Linked DNA regions of Arabidopsis thaliana. The protein of the gene in region 1 interacts with the protein of each later gene in a biochemical or structural test. Each region holds a gene or a part of one and is shown in the gene's direction. Other genes may lie near its edges.

The links.
Region 2: of the proteins of SIZ1 (region 1) and ICE1, one has a biochemical effect on the other in vitro, tested with the Arabidopsis thaliana proteins (one study listed by BioGRID).

The regions. Positions count from the first base shown.
Region 1 is NC_003076.8:24,289,101-24,300,161, forward strand, and holds the start of SIZ1 (DNA-binding protein with MIZ/SP-RING zinc finger, PHD-finger and SAP domain-containing protein), read left to right. Parts: upstream 1-5,660; 5' UTR 5,661-5,935; intron 5,936-6,033; 5' UTR 6,034-6,125; coding exon 6,126-6,149; intron 6,150-6,417; coding exon 6,418-6,498; intron 6,499-6,717; coding exon 6,718-6,760; intron 6,761-6,869; coding exon 6,870-6,942; intron 6,943-7,036; coding exon 7,037-7,199; intron 7,200-7,363; coding exon 7,364-7,494; intron 7,495-7,801; coding exon 7,802-7,870; intron 7,871-8,113; coding exon 8,114-8,201; intron 8,202-8,280; coding exon 8,281-8,356; intron 8,357-8,567; coding exon 8,568-8,641; intron 8,642-8,770; coding exon 8,771-8,878; intron 8,879-9,361; coding exon 9,362-9,523; intron 9,524-9,627; coding exon 9,628-9,732; intron 9,733-9,815; coding exon 9,816-9,896; intron 9,897-9,979; coding exon 9,980-11,061. Other genes in the region: AT5G60390 (GTP binding Elongation factor Tu family protein), read left to right, coding at 126-587, 688-1,575; AT5G60400 (uncharacterized protein), read right to left, coding at 2,285-2,477, 2,572-2,654. UniProt on the Arabidopsis thaliana protein: E3 SUMO protein ligase involved in regulation processes. Mediates SUMO/ attachment to PHR1, a MYB transcriptional activator controlling the phosphate deficiency responses.
Region 2 is NC_003074.8:9,829,640-9,840,700, reverse strand, and holds ICE1 (basic helix-loop-helix (bHLH) DNA-binding superfamily protein), read left to right. Parts: upstream 1-5,428; 5' UTR 5,429-5,565; exon of another isoform or gene 5,566-5,812; 5' UTR 5,813-5,910; coding exon 5,911-6,915; coding exon of another isoform or gene 6,916-7,002; exon of another isoform or gene 7,003-7,097; coding exon 7,098-7,322; intron 7,323-7,414; coding exon 7,415-7,585; coding exon of another isoform or gene 7,586-7,615; exon of another isoform or gene 7,616-7,664; coding exon 7,665-7,748; 3' UTR 7,749-8,034; downstream 8,035-11,061. Other genes in the region: AT3G26750 (HECT-like ubiquitin-conjugating enzyme (E2)-binding protein), read left to right, coding at 1-562; AT3G26742 (uncharacterized protein), read right to left, coding at 9,146-9,301.

The DNA.
Region 1 (11,061 bases):
ATGTGGTTTTGTTTCAGTGGATCTGTGTTTGATTATATTGTTGACGTTTTGGTTGTTGTATAGTTGATGGTTGATGTATTTTTGTTGATTCTGATGTTTCGATTTTTGTTTTTGTTTTGACAGCTATGGGTAAAGAGAAGTTTCACATTAACATTGTGGTCATTGGTCATGTTGATTCTGGAAAATCGACCACAACTGGTCACTTGATCTATAAGCTTGGTGGTATTGACAAGCGTGTCATCGAGAGGTTCGAGAAGGAGGCTGCTGAGATGAACAAGAGGTCCTTCAAGTACGCATGGGTGTTGGACAAACTTAAGGCCGAGCGTGAGCGTGGTATTACCATCGATATTGCTCTATGGAAGTTCGAGACCACCAAGTACTACTGCACAGTCATTGATGCCCCAGGACATCGTGATTTCATCAAGAACATGATTACTGGTACCTCCCAGGCTGATTGTGCTGTTCTTATCATTGACTCCACCACTGGAGGTTTTGAGGCTGGTATCTCTAAGGATGGTCAGACCCGTGAGCACGCTCTTCTTGCTTTCACCCTTGGTGTCAAGCAGATGATTTGCTGTTGTAACAAGGTAATATAACTTTCGTATTCATCATTGTATCTGCTTTTGTGATTGATTGATTCGTTTTATTTGTTGCTAACTTGCGTCTTTTTCTATTTTCGCCTAACAGATGGATGCCACCACCCCCAAATACTCCAAGGCTAGGTACGATGAAATCATCAAGGAGGTGTCTTCATACCTGAAGAAGGTCGGATACAACCCTGACAAAATCCCATTTGTGCCAATCTCTGGATTCGAGGGAGACAACATGATTGAGAGGTCAACCAACCTTGACTGGTACAAGGGACCAACTCTTCTTGAGGCTCTTGACCAGATCAACGAGCCCAAGAGGCCATCAGACAAGCCCCTTCGTCTTCCACTTCAGGATGTCTACAAGATTGGTGGTATTGGAACGGTGCCAGTGGGACGTGTTGAGACTGGTATGATCAAGCCTGGTATGGTTGTTACCTTTGCTCCCACAGGGTTGACCACTGAGGTTAAGTCTGTTGAGATGCACCACGAGTCTCTTCTTGAGGCACTTCCCGGTGACAATGTTGGATTCAATGTCAAGAATGTTGCTGTCAAGGATCTTAAGAGAGGATACGTTGCCTCTAACTCCAAGGATGATCCAGCTAAGGGTGCCGCCAACTTCACCTCCCAGGTCATCATCATGAACCACCCTGGTCAGATTGGTAACGGTTACGCCCCAGTTCTCGATTGCCACACCTCTCACATTGCAGTCAAGTTCTCTGAGATCTTGACCAAGATTGACAGGCGTTCTGGTAAGGAGATTGAGAAGGAGCCCAAGTTTTTGAAGAATGGTGACGCTGGTATGGTTAAGATGACCCCAACCAAGCCCATGGTTGTTGAGACTTTCTCCGAGTACCCACCTTTGGGACGTTTCGCTGTTAGGGACATGAGGCAGACCGTTGCTGTTGGTGTTATTAAGAGCGTGGACAAGAAGGACCCAACTGGAGCCAAGGTCACCAAGGCTGCAGTGAAGAAGGGTGCCAAATGATGAGACTTTCGTTATGATCGACTCTCTTATGGTTTTCTTTGGTTCTTAAAACTTTGATGGCGTTTGAGCCTTTTTCTTTTTTCTCTTTATTTCTGTGACTTTCTCTCTCCCTCCTTTTTGGATATCTCTGAGACTTTTTATTATGGTTTTCAATTATGCAGTTTCCGGATAATTTTGCTTGAAACTTATTTAGGAGTTGTGTTACAAAGTTGCTGTCTTTCTTTGTTCTTGTTTAAACAATCATTCAGAGATCAACCCAACCATACTTAGCGTTTTAAGATCTATGTAAGAGATAGGGTTCTATAGTTTCGTTAGAATTAACTTGTGCTTAGTGTTTTCTGACAATTACTTCATACGAACTTTTTAAAAAGACTTAGGTTCTCAATCAACAAACAGAAATAGTAATTTATCAATAAAAAATGCTGAGAACTAAAAACCAAAAGAAATGGATAAGGCCAAAAGATGCAGTAAAAACATCTCACCAACGACAAATAAACGTGTCAACAACAACAATGAAAAACATCCCGAATAACTTAAAATGCTTTCCAGCTAAAGATTCTGTGATCTGCAGTTCTACAAGAAACATAAACTCAGTGAGATCTAATAATGAAAAGGCTTTTGGATTTCTTAAACACTAAGCAGCAGCTTTTGCTGTGTGGGGAAGAAAAGCTCCACAAACCTACAACATCTTGTAATAAAAGTAAAAACACTAAGCAGCTTTGGCTGTGTGAGAAGAAAAGCTCCACAAGCCTAGATCTTGTAGTAAAGCAACTAGATCTCTAACATCTTCATTCTCTTGAAGCCTCTCCACATCTTCTTCACCATGGCTCTTGTACTCATGTTTACCTTCTGATCTCCTTCTCCTCTGTATCACCTTCCTTCTCTTGTCATGATCTGCCATTCTTCAACATCCACAGAGAGAGAGAAAAAGAGACAAGTCAAATAAACAGAGAAGATCTCAAGACAGAGAGCATAAGTGAAACAGAGAAATATTACTCTTTGGACAGACTTAATTGCTGAGTGATCCCAGAGATGCACAGAGGGAAGCCATAGTTACCACTAAGAGTTGTAGACAGCATTTCTTTCTTTGTAGTGAATGGATTTTTCAGAAATTTGGATCTTGTTTTTAAGAAGAAAAAAAAAGACAAGATCTTGAATTGGTAATGGGTTAAAGAGAGTATAGATATATAATGGTACCATGTAATTAATATGAGAGAAAGATTTTTTTGTCCTGTGGTGTGTTGTGCATTTGAGAGTAGTAGGTATTAGGTATGGTCTCTTCTTCTTCTACTATTAAAATGCATTAATCAAACTTTATAGAAAAGTACCGTCTGTGAGTGAATTAAAAAGAAAATAGTTCTGAATATGATCTTTGTGTTATAGTGAAAATAAATTTTGGTTTCACTTTACCTTTTTTCCTCCGCATGATAATAAAGACAACTCTAGCTAATTTGGACTGTTCTTTTTTTTTCCTCAGTTGGATTGATAAAAGTATGACGAGGACAATAAGGGCTTTTCAGTTTTATTCTTTTTCAGCAAGAATAAATGCAGCCTCTCATCTGCTAAATCATTCATATCAAGTCTTGTCAACTTGTTTTTTGAACCAACTTGCTCATTAAAGTAATTCCCACCTAAACTTCTGTATTAAGCAGACCCTTAAAAACAGTGATGCAAGATTTAACATCACTTTCACCATTTATTACATGGTAACAATGAGACAAAGGCATTTACTTTTGGAATTGATGATTATTGGAACAAATCTTGCAATGATTTGCATATAACTTGAATAATACCTTTTGATCAAATCTTAACAATGAAATTTGGTCTCCAAAAAGACTAAAAACTAGCAGTCAAAAGTGTTTTGTTGAGATTTATGCCTATAATTAGAATATTATATGCTAGTTGGTATGGTTGAGTGTTACAAGAATCTACTTGCTACAAAGTGACAATCCAGGAGCTGTTCATAGTACATAGTACCAACATTATACAAGGGACTAGTTATGGATAAGTCATTGCTTTTGAGACATAGTACCAACATATGTAACATGGGTCACAAAGGACTAGTTATGGATAAGTACCAAAATTTTCTCCACTATCTATGTTCATGAACATATGTAGCATCTGTGTATAGATGCAAAATCAAGAGCTCAAATAAACTACAGAGTATATACACACACAAAAAAACTTATCAATGTGAATTCTTGGAAATGAAGGTAATGCCAAATCATTGGAGATGACGTTAACAACATGACCTCACTTGGGATAATAATCCTGATAATCATTTGATTGTAGCCACATAGAAAGCAGCAAACTAAATGACAATTATGATTTAAGAGCAAAGATAGTGACAGTGTAAATTAAGTCCACTCTTCTTTGACCTTAAGGTAATAATATATATATGGATGAGGTGATACTAATAGAGTGATTACACATACAAGTGGTCTTGCTTCTTCTATGGTTTTAAAACTGCAAATAAAGATTTGCTTCGCAGGAGAGATAGCGCCATCACCTCTTCTAAGAAGTTAACTAGTGGTGACGGTATCTCTCCTACGTAGCAATCCTTATATATGCATCTTAATACGGAGAGATCAAGGTATTTCAGTTGTTCAATAATCACCCTCTAACAAAGATGCATCTTAATATTCATAAACTATTCTCTTTCTACTTACATAGTAACACCATAAAAACAATGAAACTGCTCCGTAGAGGACCTTGGTTTGAGCCTCTAGATCGTCTTCTCTTACCTAAAATGATAATCTGTTCCAAGATAGGTTCTTGCTATTTGCTCAAATATGTTTTGGTCTTTTGAATGTTAGCTCAGCAAGGAGCTCACATGATTAGCAGCACATCCTCAGCCTGAAAGTTTCAAGAAAAGCTTTATCAATTTAAGAGTTGTGTACGTTTGCAGAATTCTCACAAGTTTGGTTTGATTCTCACCCACAAGAAAAAAATGTCTTTTCTTTTACTTTCGATATGTTTCTTTGCCTTTGACAAGGGACATATAAAAATGTTAAGACGAAAAGGTTGACAAATCTTTGAAAACTATCCACATCATGAACTCAAGATATCTCATTCCATTAGAAGCAAAAAAAATATCAAGTCAATGAGACCAGCTCACGACTACTCTAGAATCTTCATTAAGCAGAACAAGGAAAATCTATAGGTCTAATTAAACCTTTTTTTAATATCTCGGGTTAACACCAAATTTGGTTCAAACTCGACAAGTCATTGTTCAAAACACAGCATCCAAAAAGATAAAAAGCCAAATCTTATCACCAGAAGTCCACCACTAATTGGTATATAATGTTTTTTTTTGTATGTAGAAATAGTGTTGAAGAAAGAGCTTCATGCTATTTGATATCTATAATATCTCATTTCTTGTAACAAATGAACTCCACACGGAATGAAGCTTTTTACATATAGAAAGAACATATAAATGTGTCCAATATCTAATTTGGTCCACGTATCAATTTGCAAGATCACATGCTTACGAGACCTCAAATATTTGGTGGATATATAAGATAATTTCCCACATGTTTTACGAACCATCCCGTAATGAGTATGAATTATCCGGTCTAGCAATCCATTCGATAGATTTACTAGTTGAAACTTGAAAGTAGGGTTTTGCTCACTTGTATCCTTTATTCGTAGTTTAACTATAATGCACATATGGAAGAATTGAGCCACAATTCTCAATGAATTTAGCGAGGGTGAGAAATGTCAATTCAATGTACATTCTATGTCAATTCAATGAAAACAAATGAAGAAAAGAGACATGAAATATGTTTCCAAATTCTTACTTAGAAGAATTAGAATCAAATAATACAATATCTACATATGCCATGAGAGACATATGGAAAACCATGTTTTCGGATGATAAACTTCCAAATTGATTTGATATATACTATAAACCGGCAAATAAACAAATTGAGGTTAAAATATAACAAACCGGTCCGGTCTGATCGAACGGCTGATGTCATAAAACGTGGGGAATATTCGATTAAAATAACAAAGACTCCGTTACGGTCGTAAATAAGTGGTGTGAGAACCGAAAGTCAAAAACACGTCAATATTGGTGGGGGGGACGACCGTGCACGTGACCACACAGGAACTAAACCCGGACGTATTGCGCGAAAATTAAACCGGATTTGATAATCGGCGACTCGTCCGGCAACCCTTGTTTTGTTTTCGTCTCGGCGGATCGATTTTTCTTCGTCTGGGTTTGGTTGTCTTTTTATTTTCCTCTTCCTTGGCCAAAGAAAATCTTATCGTAGCTGTGAAAACCCTAGTTTCTAATCATCTCAATTCTCTCATTAACCTATCAATTTCGATAGGGTTTGATCAAGTATCCGATTTCATGGTTTGTATTTTCCGTTTAATAGTCTTTAAAGGTCTTGTCTTTTGGAATTTCAAGGGTTTTCGTTTCAGTAACTCCTTCTTTTTTTTCTGTTAATTTAGATCGGTTGCTGTATGGAGACTAATTGCTGGAGTTTAGGTTCGTGTGTTTTGAACTGAGCTTTTGGTTCTTGTTTGTGTCTGGTGTTGAAGACATGGATTTGGAAGCTAATTGTAAGGTATTATTGTCTGAAAGATCTATGGATGCTTGTTGGTTTATAATTTTTGTTGATTTGAACTTGTTATGAATGTGTTGATTGGTATATAGAGTGGATGTTTCAAAAAAGCTTTGCTTTTCCGTTTTGTTTATGATCTAGATTGTATTGCTGGGAGTAAAAAACGATCCTTTATCTCATAAGGGTTTTGGATTATGGTTCGTGGTTGCTGTTATTGAATTTAGTCTTGCTCTAGTTAAGCTTAACGTTGTGTTTTTGTTGTGGGTTGCAGGAAAAACTTTCATATTTTCGGATAAAAGAGCTCAAGGATGTGCTCACTCAGCTGGGACTTTCGAAACAGGGAAAGAAGCAGGTTAGTATCGTTCTCTAATCTTCCATTGGTCGTGATTATGTTTGTGATTGTTTTGGAATGATTATAGTAGAGAAGATGATGTTTTGGGTGATAATTATTGCTGTCTTGAGCTATATAGCAGTTTCCAAGATAAATCTAAGACATTACCTTGCAAAGAGTGTTATCTGTTTTATTCTTTCACCAAAAAATTTAACTTCTTTTTGAAATTTTCTTGTGCAGGAACTTGTCGACCGGATCTTGACCCTTCTTTCTGATGAACAAGGTTATATGAACCACTTGCTTTTGTTTATTCACGTTTTGGTGTATTAAGAGTCACTGCTAGCTCTGCCATCTTCTTCTAATAAGCTTCCGTTTTCATTCCCTACTGACAGCTGCCAGGTTGTTGTCTAAAAAGAATACAGTGGCAAAGGAAGCAGTTGCCAAATTAGTGGACGATACATATAGGTGAGTGCTCGTTTCTTTCAATAGATTTCTTAGGAGATGCCATGCTTTTTGTGGCGGTTCTTTGTTACCATTAATTTTATATTGTGTTCCATAGGAAAATGCAAGTATCTGGGGCAAGTGATTTAGCATCAAAAGGACAAGTGAGTTCAGATACCAGTAATCTGAAAGTTAAGGGAGAGCCTGAAGACCCCTTCCAACCAGAAATTAAAGTTCGATGTGTTTGTGGAAACTCGCTAGAAACAGACTCAATGATACAGGTAATCTGGGATGAACTCACTGCGTTTATTCCTGTTTGAGCTGACTGTAGACAATTTCTTTGTATTTTATGGTCGATGGTGTGATGTATTTATCATTGATTACATTTGTGAAGTTTGGTGATACTTTCTGGCTGTAATTTTTGTTTTTTTTCTTCCGATTTCAGTGTGAGGATCCAAGATGCCATGTTTGGCAGCATGTTGGCTGTGTTATTCTCCCAGATAAGCCTATGGATGGGAATCCACCACTTCCGGAATCATTTTATTGTGAAATCTGCCGACTTACTCGAGCTGACCCGTATGTGTTTCAAGGATTTTACTTTTCCTGTCTGAGTTTAAGTTTGATATGTGATTGATTTTCCATCTGAGTTCCTCCCTCACTGCTTTATGATTCTTTCCTGCCATAACTGAAAAGAAAGACATATTTATACATTTGACATGCTTTGCATTCTAGTTTCTTTGCGTTTGATTGTTCTTCTTCTTCTAGTACTGTTTTCATAGTTGTCAATTTTCTTTTATATATTATTTCCTATCTTTACATTAGCACCTGTGGATATCCTATAGCATGATTATTCACGGTTTTCCTACATGGTTTCCTTGTTCAGATTTTGGGTTACAGTGGCACATCCACTCTCTCCAGTGAGGCTGACTGCAACGACTATCCCAAATGATGGGTAAGAATTTTATATTCTTGATATTGCTATTGCTTTGAACGAGTGTACTTTCAGTGCCATTATTGTGTGAATTGGTACTTTATAAGTCACTTTGACTTTAAATTTTCTACTTGGAACTGGTATAAGACATTCATTCTAGTTTCAAGAATGACAATTGTTTCCTGGCTATATGCATAGCACCTGCTGAAGAAATACTGTTACTGGCTTTTGTTTGTACTAATACTCCGATCCAAAACTTTTCAGTGCAAGCACAATGCAGAGTGTGGAGAGAACATTTCAAATCACAAGGGCAGACAAGGACCTTTTGGCCAAACCAGAGTACGATGTTCAGGTTGGGTTTTGTAAACTACATTTAATATGTCAAGGTGTATCTACCTATACGTTTCTAACTGGAAATCAATTTTGTTTAGGCTTGGTGTATGCTCTTGAATGATAAAGTTCTCTTTAGGATGCAGTGGCCTCAGTATGCTGATCTGCAGGTCAATGGTATGACAATGACATCGACCAGAGTTTTAGTCGGTTGAGCATTTCCTTTGAAACAGGGGAATGTTGTTTTATTTCATGTTGCATAAATTCCTGTGGGCACATTCCATTCACATTCACATTGTCTTTATTTGTCTGTTATTCTGATCATACTCAATAAGACTGTGTATGTTTCTGATGTGGGATTCATGATATATACCCTATCATTTCATAGGTGTGCCTGTACGTGCAATTAATCGACCTGGAGGACAGCTTTTGGGAGTCAACGGCCGCGACGATGGACCCATTGTGTGTTTTTTATCATCCCTTTTGAGTAGTAACCCTTTTGAATTACATATAGGAGTCAATCTCTCATACATTGAAAATCTAGCAATCAGTGATGTAAGTTTTAACCATTTCATTTTACTATTTTGGCAGATTACATCTTGTATTAGGGATGGAGTTAACAGAATATCCTTGAGTGGAGGTGACGTTCGGATTTTTTGTTTTGGGGTCAGACTTGTGAAGCGCAGGACTCTACAACAGGTACTGATAACATATATGCATAAGAAACATTCAAAGATTTGGTCGTATATGTGGTCAATGAAGAGTCCAAACATAAATGTTCAAAAAGGAACGAAATTAATATTCTGAATACAAAAAGAAAGAATAAATTATGTTGGCGTACCCAAGAAAGTAATTTTGTGGAAGTTACCTGTGGTTACACACTTACGTTAAACTATTCCCATGTTATTTCCCACTCCCACTAAATCTAGAAAAGTTAGTCAGATTTCAAATTTCACAGTCCTATTCTTCTTCCTATATTTCACGTATATGAGCCACTGAGCCTGGCCTTGTATGAGATTTGGTTACGGAAGTGTAGTCTGTCCTTGTGCTGCAACATTTATCCCTTTAATCAATATATTTATCACTTTTGTTGGTGTTCTTGTATACAGAGGAATTCATATTGTACGTTAATGATCTAATGATCTCCAAGTTGCTTATATATATACTCATTTTTGCATCTAGGTTCTAAATTTGATTCCAGAAGAGGGTAAAGGGGAGACTTTTGAAGATGCTCTTGCACGTGTCCGCCGATGCATTGGAGGTGGAGGTGGAGATGATAATGCCGACAGTGATAGTGACATTGAAGTTGTTGCTGATTTCTTCGGTGTCAATCTTCGGTGTCCTGTAAGTTACTAATAGCTCGTAGCCCAGTTTTTATACTTATCCTCTTCCTAGGGCTATCTTGCAGACTGAATTTTTTTTATTGTCTTTTCTGTTTGCGTCATTAGATGAGCGGTTCTAGGATAAAAGTTGCTGGGAGATTTTTACCCTGTGTGCACATGGGCTGTTTTGACCTTGATGTGTTTGTGGAGTTGAATCAACGTTCCAGAAAGGTAGGTCTACTATCCTTGTCTAGATATTGGGTTATGTCTCTTGTTTTCTGACTTTAGTTGTTCTGGGGTTTGTTAACATGCAGTGGCAGTGCCCTATTTGTCTGAAGAACTACTCAGTGGAGCATGTAATCGTCGATCCTTATTTTAACCGTATCACGTCTAAGGTATGTATTCTTATGGGAATTCAAGAATTCTTAAAATCTTTGTATCTACGCTTTTATTCAGTAGTTGTCTTCCTGCACGACAGATGAAGCATTGTGATGAAGAGGTGACTGAAATTGAAGTGAAACCTGATGGTTCTTGGCGTGTAAAGTTCAAAAGAGAGAGTGAGCGAAGGGAACTGGGGGAACTCTCACAGTGGCATGCACCTGATGGTAGCCTTTGCCCCTCTGCTGTTGATATTAAACGGAAGATGGAAATGTTACCGGTTAAGCAAGAAGGTTACTCAGATGGTCCAGCCCCGCTAAAACTTGGAATAAGGAAGAATCGTAATGGCATTTGGGAAGTTAGCAAACCTAATACAAATGGATTATCTTCCAGTAATAGGCAAGAAAAGGTTGGGTATCAGGAGAAGAATATTATACCAATGAGTAGTAGTGCTACTGGAAGTGGTAGGGATGGTGATGATGCAAGCGTAAACCAGGATGCTATTGGAACTTTTGACTTTGTAGCCAACGGCATGGAACTTGATTCCATTTCCATGAATGTTGATTCAGGTTATAACTTTCCTGACAGAAACCAATCTGGCGAGGGTGGAAATAATGAAGTCATCGTTCTGAGTGATTCTGATGACGAGAATGATTTAGTGATCACTCCAGGGCCTGCATACAGTGGTTGTCAAACAGATGGTGGACTTACTTTTCCACTGAACCCTCCTGGAATAATTAACTCATATAATGAGGACCCACACAGCATAGCTGGGGGAAGTTCAGGCTTAGGTCTTTTCAATGATGATGATGAATTTGATACGCCCCTTTGGTCATTTCCTTCTGAAACTCCAGAAGCCCCTGGGTTCCAACTATTTAGATCTGATGCTGACGTTTCAGGAGGTTTAGTTGGTTTGCATCATCATAGTCCACTAAACTGTTCTCCTGAAATAAATGGAGGTTATACCATGGCTCCTGAGACATCAATGGCATCTGTTCCTGTGGTTCCTGGCTCTACTGGCCGATCTGAAGCAAACGATGGCCTAGTTGACAATCCTCTTGCATTTGGTAGAGACGATCCCTCACTTCAAATATTTTTGCCAACAAAACCAGATGCTTCAGCTCAGTCGGGTTTTAAAAACCAAGCTGATATGTCAAATGGTCTCCGTAGTGAAGACTGGAT
Region 2 (11,061 bases), on another chromosome or scaffold:
AGCGTCAAATGTGTCAAAGAATGTCGAGTGGATTGAATTTGCTTGCCCTGAGTGTTCCTCTCCTCTTGGAGCCTATCCTTCTGGTGTTGGGAGCAACGGTAAACCCATTGATGGTGGAGTTAGACTCTTCAAATGCTATATTTCCACATCATCGACGACGGGTGAATCCTCTGACGTTTTCAGGAAATACACATTGGAAAGAATGTTTACGAATCAGCTAGTGGAATGCTCCAAAGAGGAGTTATCATTTCACGTGTTGGTCAAAGATTTGACAACTAAATCACCTCTGTTCAACATCGTTATTTTGAATCCAAACACATTTTCCTCGACTGGTCTTTGCTCGAGCCAAGATGAACCAGGTTCCGCATTAGAGTTAAGCGCTATTGTGAAGGTTCTGTTTTCTGATTGCAACAGCTCGGTAGTGAAGAAGATTGATGAAGAAGTATACATTTTGAAGGGACAAGGAGAGGAGTTGATAGAGTTAATAACGAATGCAAGCAAATTTCTTCCATCTTCGTGTTCATATCTTCAAGGCGCACTTGTCTCATCGATGCATCTATGATAATGAATCTTTTCTTCACCTTTTTCTGAGTTTATTTGTGACTCAGTTTTTTTACTTGTTTAGTAACAACATTTACCTTTTGGTTTAGTTATGGTTATTGACGTTGTTCTAACTTGTATTAAAATATTTGGTTTTTCAATTGAATGAAAGGAATATTTCTTCTCACATTATCTTTATTCAAGATTCAAAGTTTGAAATAATAACTGATATTGGACCTAGGATCTAAAGCCACCTCATTTGCTAATTAATGATACGAGCAAAAGCCTAAGACTTAAATCTAGTGATATGGTAATATGCAGTACCCGTGATTTAAGCAAAACCTTCCCTTTGACCCAAGTGTCTCTTAGAGAGAATTACGTTAATTGTTGTAGATTTTTTCTTTATTAATCATAAGAGGTCTTTATATAGACCTTGGTGAAACTAAGGTAAATAGGAATATCACCAACCCTAAACCTAATGTCAAAAAGAAATACGTAATTGTTTTAAAATTAAAATTGCAAGACACGTAATTGATTTCAAATTTTCTTCAATTATATAAGGGTTGTGAAAAAATTCTCTAAGTCACTCATTTTTGCAATTTTATTTTTCACGTCAAAAAATGCAAAATAATCCTATGAAATCTAAAATAATACGCAATAAATCTCATTTTTGCATCTTTTGCACATATTGTAAGCGTTTTCACAATTATATACATTTGTTTTTAAAAATTCTAAAAATATAGTTGAACTCTCCATATCGAGACTTTTGATTTGATATATTACTTATCAAAATTTTAAAATTTGACAACAATGAAAAAGGGATATATTATGTATATATATATATATTTTTTAATATATGGAAGTTCAAGCCCAAAGACCATACATCTCCAGATATTTTAGATATGTCTGAGCCCGGGTTCGAACCGGGGACCTCTAGTGTGTGAGACTAGCGTGATAACCGACTACACCACCCAGACTTTGATGGGTATATTGTGTATTATTTTTTCCTTTATATGATTATTTTGTATTTTTTGAACATGAATAATAAAGTTGCAAATATGAACGACTTTCATGTTTGTTTTGCACAAAATAGTTAGAGATATGATATGTGATTTTGGTGTTTTCTTAATTAGTTGACATATTTATAACTATCATCGTTAACATCTACTTTGTCTATGTCTTCACCGTCACTTCCACCTCCATTATCTCTGTTGTCATCAAGTATGTCGTTGTCTCCAATATTTTCTTCCGATTCTTCTCTATTTATATTGTGCCGAAATCGATATGCCAAAATAAAATCTTCATAGCTGTTAACACTAATTATAGACAATTAATATGATCAATTAAGATGAAGAAAGATGGAGCTATTTTCATTTGAATGACGCATGTAAGAACCTTAGTTTTAAACCACACAAGATTTTCAAAATTGAATAATTTTTCATAGCGAATGATATCGCAAAAAAAAAAAAAAAATTGGATAAGCTAAAATGACTACTCTAATCCAAAAAAATTCCGGCTATTACATACAACAAAGTTGTTTAATTTTCTAATAAAACATTTGGTCAAATCCCTAGTTAAAAGGAATAACAATTAATTGATATACTAACACAACAATTAGTAGAGTACTTTGCTTTGAAATGGTCATATATTCAAGTCTTTTCTATCTCTCATATGCATTCTTTGTACAATCGAAATACACAAAATTTTGTTTAACACTGTACTCTGGAAATGATCAACATATCTTGAGCTTTATCATTTGTTTTCATACTTTATTAAATGAAATGGGTAAGAACAGACGAAGTGTTAACCATTTTTTTATTTCAAACTTCAAAAAGCCTAACTTTAACGTATGTGTTTCTCCTCTGTCTTTTGCATATACATTTCTCTCTTTAATCTAACAATTGAATTTACGAGGTTTAACACCTTGATCTAGCTACCAATATGATCTAATATTCCAAGCTTATTAGTTTCCTCATAGGGATCACATACGAAATACAAACAAAGGCCTATAATATACTCATATATTTCATTTTAGTTTTATCATATAAGTTTTATATTCATTTTAGTCAATAAAGTCCATAAATAACTTTGGCTATTTTTTAATTGTCTAAGCTCACAAAAACGTTTACATTATTTTAAAAATATTTTTACTTAAATTATTTATTTTGGTACAGTCTAAATCTTGTTTTGTCAGATTAGGCCTCTTGTTTCTATAATGCATATTTCTCTTTTTCTTTTTCGTCGAATACATATCTCGTCGAATGCATATCAGGTTAGGCCTTGTAGTTATTATTGCTGGTGGAGATGGTCAACAGAAAAGTCAACAAGGAGAAGAAGATAATGGTTTGGGCTGAGAAGTATTTTGGGCCATCGGTTTTGGTTAAAGCCCAATAAAGAAATGTTTGCTTAGTTTTATTATAACTAAGTTAAGTTAGAAGAAGAAAATATTGTTGGGGTTGTTAGAAGTGTAAGAGACTGGGATTAACTTTTGCTTATAAACTTCGACTACAATCTAGTGATGATCATGCCTACAAAGAATAGTTAATCTATAGAGTTGTAAGTTTGTGGGTGAGAGTAATAACTTAACGATGATCATGCATTTTTTTGAACATTTTTTTATGCGTAGACAAACCTATGGTCTTCCAATTTTATACAATTGAATTTTCTTTGGCGTAGAAAATTTAGTGTGGATGGCATGCACATGTTAAGACATTTCATGTCTTTAACAGAAAATTAACTGATATTTTAAACTATATTTGGATATGATGCTAGTCGAACTAAAGACAACCGGACCACCGTCAATAACATCGTTAAGTAGATTTTGTTTTTCGAATTACATAGTTTTTCTTTAAACATCAAAACTGGAAAGAAATTAATATACATATATCGAACTCTATTACTTTCTTTCAAAATTTTCAACCCCAAACCTTAGGGAAAACCAAAAAAATAATTTCTTTAAATTTGAACTTATATATGAAAAGCAAATTAAGTGGTTCTACTTTTCTACCTAGTGATCTCAGTTTTAATAAACTTAACATTGCGGTGATTGTAATGGATCGAAACAAAAAATAATAATGATTTCTCAAATCGAAGTTGAAGAGCACTCCGAAGATTCTACCCCAAATTTTGAAGAACATTGAGTTGCTAGTTGATTCAGCACATTCACCAAATTGCTACCAAATGAAGGATATATCGACTACTTGGAAATAAGTTTTCCTTGCACACTAACCATTACCATTTAATTTGATGGAGTTAAAAATAAGCTTTAAGTTGTTCATATTCATCTTTAAAAAATTTCTAATGAGTAAGTTTATTTTGTTCAAGCCATGCTGGATTTATTGAAAACAAAGAGACTATTTTCATATATTTGCAAAGAAACAATATATTGAAACTGGTGAAATAGATACGTCATCCATTTCATCAAAGATCAATCTTCAAGATTCCTATGTGTATTATAGTAGCTTTAAAATAAAGTAAAACTAATATTGAATTATAATTCTTGGGAAGTGTTTATTATTGAAAATCAAATCATGTATAGCTACAGTAAATAAAAAGAAGTAGATAGAAAGAAAGAAAATGCAGTATAAATTTTTAATCTGTGTGAAATGAAAATTTGCAAAATCAATATTCATGAAACGGATAAAATGCACTACCGTACTTGATGCATAAATAAAAAATGGCTGTTTGTACCAATCCACATGTATTATATGCGTTTAACTAGGATTACCAATATTTTTGACCTCTATCCAATTCACCTTCTGCTCTTTTTGTTCTATCTAATTCCACATTCTACCCAATTTACCAAATTCAATTATTATATGTAATTACAATTTAAAATCAATAATTCATGTTTACTATTTCGCGATTAGAGTAAATCCGAGTTTAAAACCTTCCCAACAACATGTCAAAAACACTTTGAAAGCTTGGCCGAGTCTTAAAAAGTTTGACCGAGTCTTAAATTCAGATTTACTCAAATTTCGAAACAATAAACGCGAATTATTGATTATAAATTACAACTACAGAAATAAATGGAAATTGGTTATTTAGGTAGAATTTTATAGTTTGTATGAAATTAGAAAGAAGATAAAAAATACATAATGAATTGGGCTGAGGTCTACTACATAGTGATCCTAATTGAACCCATATAGTATGGGTGGACTGCAACAAACAGCCCATAAAAAAAAAAAAATTCAATGTTTATTAAAACCTTTAAATGAAGGAAACTAAGATAGATAGCCGGAGAACACGTTTAAATCTCCGGAATCTTAGCCGGTAGAAAAACAAATTCTCTAATAATAAAGCATAAACCAAAACTATATAAGCAAAAAGCCAATTTAAGGCACAAAGCCACAATTGAAACTAACAAAACTTTTTAGAAAATGAATCCCTAATTACTTCCTCTAGAAGACTAGAAAGCATATCGCAACACAACTATATTTTTTTGGGAACTCAATTTAGTTGATAATGGTGATAAACGCTACAATCATCAGAAAATTTGGAATTACTCGTCCTTACTTAATTAATGTTTAAAAGACTTATGAAATTAAACTATTTACTTACAAACTTGAGCTTGATGTGGCTTTGTTCAAGAAGCTTAGGAACCATCGAAAAGATGTCGACGCCGGTAAAGTCGAGATATGCGTTACAACATAATTATTTATAATTTTTTAAAAAAATACAAAAAATAAAAGGAAATATATTTAATAGTAAGAATATAAAATAAATTTTATTACCATCTTTTGAAAAAGAACTTTTAAGTACATAACAATAATTAGGTAATAATATGAGTTAAAGAAATGCATGGAAGACACGCGTTGCATGAATGATGCTAATTACACTTTGAAATTATCATCATCATCATTAACTTACTTAAACACTGTCTATATAAAGACAGAGACAGTGACAACAGAGACAGAGAGATAAGCTTAAGCCAAAATTAAGCAGAAAAATGGAGAAATAGTGACGGTGAGAGAGAGAGAGATACGGTAAACGAAGCAAAGCAAAGAGAGTCACGAGAAATCTGGGGTATGTGTTCAATGATAAAGCAATTTCATGGTGGCCGAAATTGAATCCATCAAAAAAAAAGTTTCAATTTTTGAAAGCTCTGAGAAATGAATCTATCATTCTCTCTCTCTATCTCTATCTTCCTTTTCAGATTTCGCTTCTTCAATTCATGAAATCCTCGTGATTCTACTTTAATGCTTCTCTTTTTTTACTTTTCCAAGTCTCTGAATATTCAAAGTATATATCTTTTGTTTTCAAACTTTTGCAGAATTGTCTTCAAGCTTCCAAATTTCAGTTAAAGGTCTCAACTTTGCAGAATTTTCCTCTAAAGGTTCAGACTTTGGGGTAAAGGTGTCAACTTTGGCGATGGGTCTTGACGGAAACAATGGTGGAGGGGTTTGGTTAAACGGTGGTGGTGGAGAAAGGGAAGAGAACGAGGAAGGTTCATGGGGAAGGAATCAAGAAGATGGTTCTTCTCAGTTTAAGCCTATGCTTGAAGGTGATTGGTTTAGTAGTAACCAACCACATCCACAAGATCTTCAGATGTTACAGAATCAGCCAGATTTCAGATACTTTGGTGGTTTTCCTTTTAACCCTAATGATAATCTTCTTCTTCAACACTCTATTGATTCTTCTTCTTCTTGTTCTCCTTCTCAAGCTTTTAGTCTTGACCCTTCTCAGCAAAATCAGTTCTTGTCAACTAACAACAACAAGGGTTGTCTTCTCAATGTTCCTTCTTCTGCAAACCCTTTTGATAATGCTTTTGAGTTTGGCTCTGAATCTGGTTTTCTTAACCAAATCCATGCTCCTATTTCGATGGGGTTTGGTTCTTTGACACAATTGGGGAACAGGGATTTGAGTTCTGTTCCTGATTTCTTGTCTGCTCGGTCACTTCTTGCGCCGGAAAGCAACAACAACAACACAATGTTGTGTGGTGGTTTCACAGCTCCGTTGGAGTTGGAAGGTTTTGGTAGTCCTGCTAATGGTGGTTTTGTTGGGAACAGAGCGAAAGTTCTGAAGCCTTTAGAGGTGTTAGCATCGTCTGGTGCACAGCCTACTCTGTTCCAGAAACGTGCAGCTATGCGTCAGAGCTCTGGAAGCAAAATGGGAAATTCGGAGAGTTCGGGAATGAGGAGGTTTAGTGATGATGGAGATATGGATGAGACTGGGATTGAGGTTTCTGGGTTGAACTATGAGTCTGATGAGATAAATGAGAGCGGTAAAGCGGCTGAGAGTGTTCAGATTGGAGGAGGAGGAAAGGGTAAGAAGAAAGGTATGCCTGCTAAGAATCTGATGGCTGAGAGGAGAAGGAGGAAGAAGCTTAATGATAGGCTTTATATGCTTAGATCAGTTGTCCCCAAGATCAGCAAAGTAAACACTTACTTTGTCTCTTTTATCTCCTTAAGAGCTTGTTTACTTGTTGCTGTTATAGAGAATTGTTGTGTTGTAGCTTTGTAGGGCCTTTGTTGTTGTCAAACTTTGCATGTAGTTGCTTTACTCTTTTGAGGAAGAGGCTCGTGATAGTGTTTTATGGATTTTCGATGAATTTGCAGATGGATAGAGCATCAATACTTGGAGATGCAATTGATTATCTGAAGGAACTTCTACAAAGGATCAATGATCTTCACAATGAACTTGAGTCAACTCCTCCTGGATCTTTGCCTCCAACTTCATCAAGCTTCCATCCGTTGACACCTACACCGCAAACTCTTTCTTGTCGTGTCAAGGAAGAGTTGTGTCCCTCTTCTTTACCAAGTCCTAAAGGCCAGCAAGCTAGAGTAAGGACTATATTCTGTATAACTTTTGCTTAGACTGGAAAGAAGAAAACAAAGATTCATGTTTGAGAGATTACTCTGCTTCTTTTTCACAGGTTGAGGTTAGATTAAGGGAAGGAAGAGCAGTGAACATTCATATGTTCTGTGGTCGTAGACCGGGTCTGTTGCTCGCTACCATGAAAGCTTTGGATAATCTTGGATTGGATGTTCAGCAAGCTGTGATCAGCTGTTTTAATGGGTTTGCCTTGGATGTTTTCCGCGCTGAGGTGATCTTCTACTCTCAGTTGAAAGGTTAAGGATTTGTAGAACAGTTTTAGTAGTAACATGTTTTCTTTTGTCTATCAGCAATGCCAAGAAGGACAAGAGATACTGCCTGATCAAATCAAAGCAGTGCTTTTCGATACAGCAGGGTATGCTGGTATGATCTGATCTGATCCTGACTTCGAGTCCATTAAGCATCTGTTGAAGCAGAGCTAGAAGAACTAAGTCCCTTTAAATCTGCAATTTTCTTCTCAACTTTTTTTCTTATGTCATAACTTCAATCTAAGCATGTAATGCAATTGCAAATGAGAGTTGTTTTTAAATTAAGCTTTTGAGAACTTGAGGTTGTTGTTGTTGGATACATAACTTCAACCTTTTATTAGCAATGTTAACTTCCATTTATGTTTCATCTTAAAGCTATGCTCAAGAATTTTTTTTAAAGTCTTCATCTTTGTTCATGAGTGAACTTCTCAAAGAAGACAGACAAAACATTTGCACATATACAGACAAAACAGTTATGTTAAAGGTATAGCTTTGGTATTAGCTGATGAAATGAGCTTTGATGATGTAAGAGTGAAGAAAAACATTGAGATTTTTAAGAAAAAACAGAGAAAAGAATGGTGAAGGAAGAGGCAGAGCAAAGAATAGACCCTACCATTTTGTTTGTTTTCTTCTTTAAATGCTTACTTAATGTTTTAAGAACTTTTATATACGTTGTATGTATCCGTACAAAAGAAAGATTTAGAGAGATAGAGAGGAGACATAGTTAATGGCGGTTAGAGATAGAAAGAGAGAGTCACGAGAACGTAGAGGATGTGATGAAGAAACGTAAAAGTGGTAGGTCCTTTGAATCTTTTAAAAACCTAACCTTTTTTATAGGGTTTTAATTTAGCTTCTCTGAATTTTTCTATGATTATAATGCATGTAGTAATGAAGTCCTCGTGATTCTAGTTTTTAGTGATGTCCTCTTGATGATCCAAGCCGTTTGGTACTTCTTTTTTTTTGTTTTTCTAAATGTTTTCTCTGTGAAAGTCTCTCTCTTAAGAAGGATTCAAACCTTTCAGTTTTTACTTCAGTAAAAAAAAACTACTCCATTTTCTACTGAATCATCTTTTCTCCACACGATCCCCAAGAGTCCAAGCATTACAAGTCCATGATAGGATTAGGAGGAAGAAGCTCAATGATAGGCTTTATTTTTCTTGCTCGTTAATTGTTGTTATGTGAGAAGTGATATTTTGATATGAAAAAATGTGCCAAAATGCTACATATTTTCATCTTATTAAACATTCTTACCAATACCAAAAAAAATCAAAAAGTTTCATTGGATTAGACGATTAGTTTAGGTCTAACTTGGGTATTCAAATATCAAACATGTATTCATTCATCTACAAAATTAAAAATTGTCTAGTCATAAGTACATAACATTGGATTTTGGTCGCCTTTGATCACTCTCACTTCATTTCATGTCTTTACATTCGCTTCTAACTCAAGATTCCATTTTCAACTCCTGGTCAGATGCTTGACTGTTCTTGTTTACGCTTTCGCCATGTCGGTATAGAAAATCTCTAGAACCTTGAGAATTTTGGTTTATACGGGACATGGGAGAAGCGCATATACAAATGGTCAAGCCTCTGACCAGAAGCTGGAAGATGAGATTCTTGCATTAGCGGTAAATATAAAAAATGAGAATGATAAAATGAGTGATTAGAGGGGAGGAGCATCCATATGATAAAAAAAGAAGAAGATTTCTATTATGATGGGCCTTGAACCTCCCATTTACCCTATCAAAAGTAGAACATTTTTCACAGCAAAAAAAAAAGGTTTAATGCGAAAACACCACCTTTGTATTCACACTCAACAAGTCTACGAGGGACAAAAACTCATTTCCATAAGGTTAATAAATAAGAGATTACTATTCTACGAGATATGAAAATTTGGATTTCTAAAAGATAAAACAAAAAGCAGGAGAGAAAACCTGTCCATATCATCACTTCAAAGACAGTTTTGAAAAAATGGTAAGCAACAGAAAGGGAGATGAGAGAAAGGATTTTTTCTTTTAGTTTATAGAATGAATAAAATATATTTGATATGTAAGTGTGAAGAAGAACTAAAACAAAAACCTCAATTTATAGCATTTTGGAATTATCTTGACGTTAATTCCAAGGTGAACATTTACCGTTGGATCAAAATCTTCTAATCTATGTCGTTCAGGTTTCGAGGTTCTTAAAACATGTTTTTTTTTACAGTCAACGTTTCTCATTTATTATATTTTATACTATCTAATATTATCTTTCTAAAATAATTTTCATTAAATATTTTTACTATTTTGATATTATTTTCAAGAACATCTATCGTTAGATCAAAATCTTCTAATATATGCCGTTCACTTTTCAAGGTTCTTAAAACATATAGATTTGTTTCTTATTTGTTTTTGTGGTCAATATTTTTGTATTTATTGTTTCTTATATTACTATATATTTATTATTATTTCTACCAAATTGACGTGATTTTCGAGGTGAATATCTACCGTTAGATCAAAGTCTTGTAATATATGTCGTCCACGTTTCAAGTTTCTTAAAACATGTAGATTTTGTTTTTTATTTATTTTCTTGGTTAACATTTTTGTATTTATTGTTTCTTATATCTATTTACAAATATTTCAACCAAATTGACATGATTTTCGAGGTGAACATCTACCGTTAGATCAAAGTCTTTTAATATATGTCGTCCACGTTTTAAGTTTCTTAAAACATCTAGATTTTGTTTCTTATTTGTTTTCTTGGTCAACATTTTTGTATGTATTATTTCTTGTATTACTATCTATTTATTAATATTTCTACTAAATAAACATGATTTTTGAGGTGATACCGTTAGATCATTAAATTCATCTAATATATGTCGTTCACGTTTCAAGTTTTTAAAGTACGTAGATTTCTTTTCATATTTGTTTTTTTTTGTCAATATTTCTTATTTATTGTATTTTGTACTATCTATTATTTTATTTTTACCAATTTTTAAAAAATTATTTACCATTTGATGTTATTTTTAAGATGAGCATCTACAGTTTGATCAAAAGCTTCTAATATAGACTATCCACGTTTCAAGTTCGTAAAAACATGTAAACTTTGTTTCTTATTTGTTTTTTTGTTGCACAGTTCTTCCGAGTAACAAATTTTGGGCATGTCCATTGTTGTTCTCATCAATTAAAAAAGTAATTATAAAGTAAAAGAGAGATTGAAGAATGCTTCTCAAGAACCCATGGAAAAAGGTTCTTAACACATAGCATCTACAGTTTGATTAAAATAAAATATTTTGAAAAACCCAAAAAGTTTCTAAGAAAAGAGATGCTCTTAAACGTTGATTGAAGTAGAGTCGTTCTTTTGCAGCGGTGTCAATTAGTACTACGTTAATTAGTTTCGTTTAGATGCACAACCAAATTCAGAAACATACAACATCCATATGAATTATCTAGATGATCATT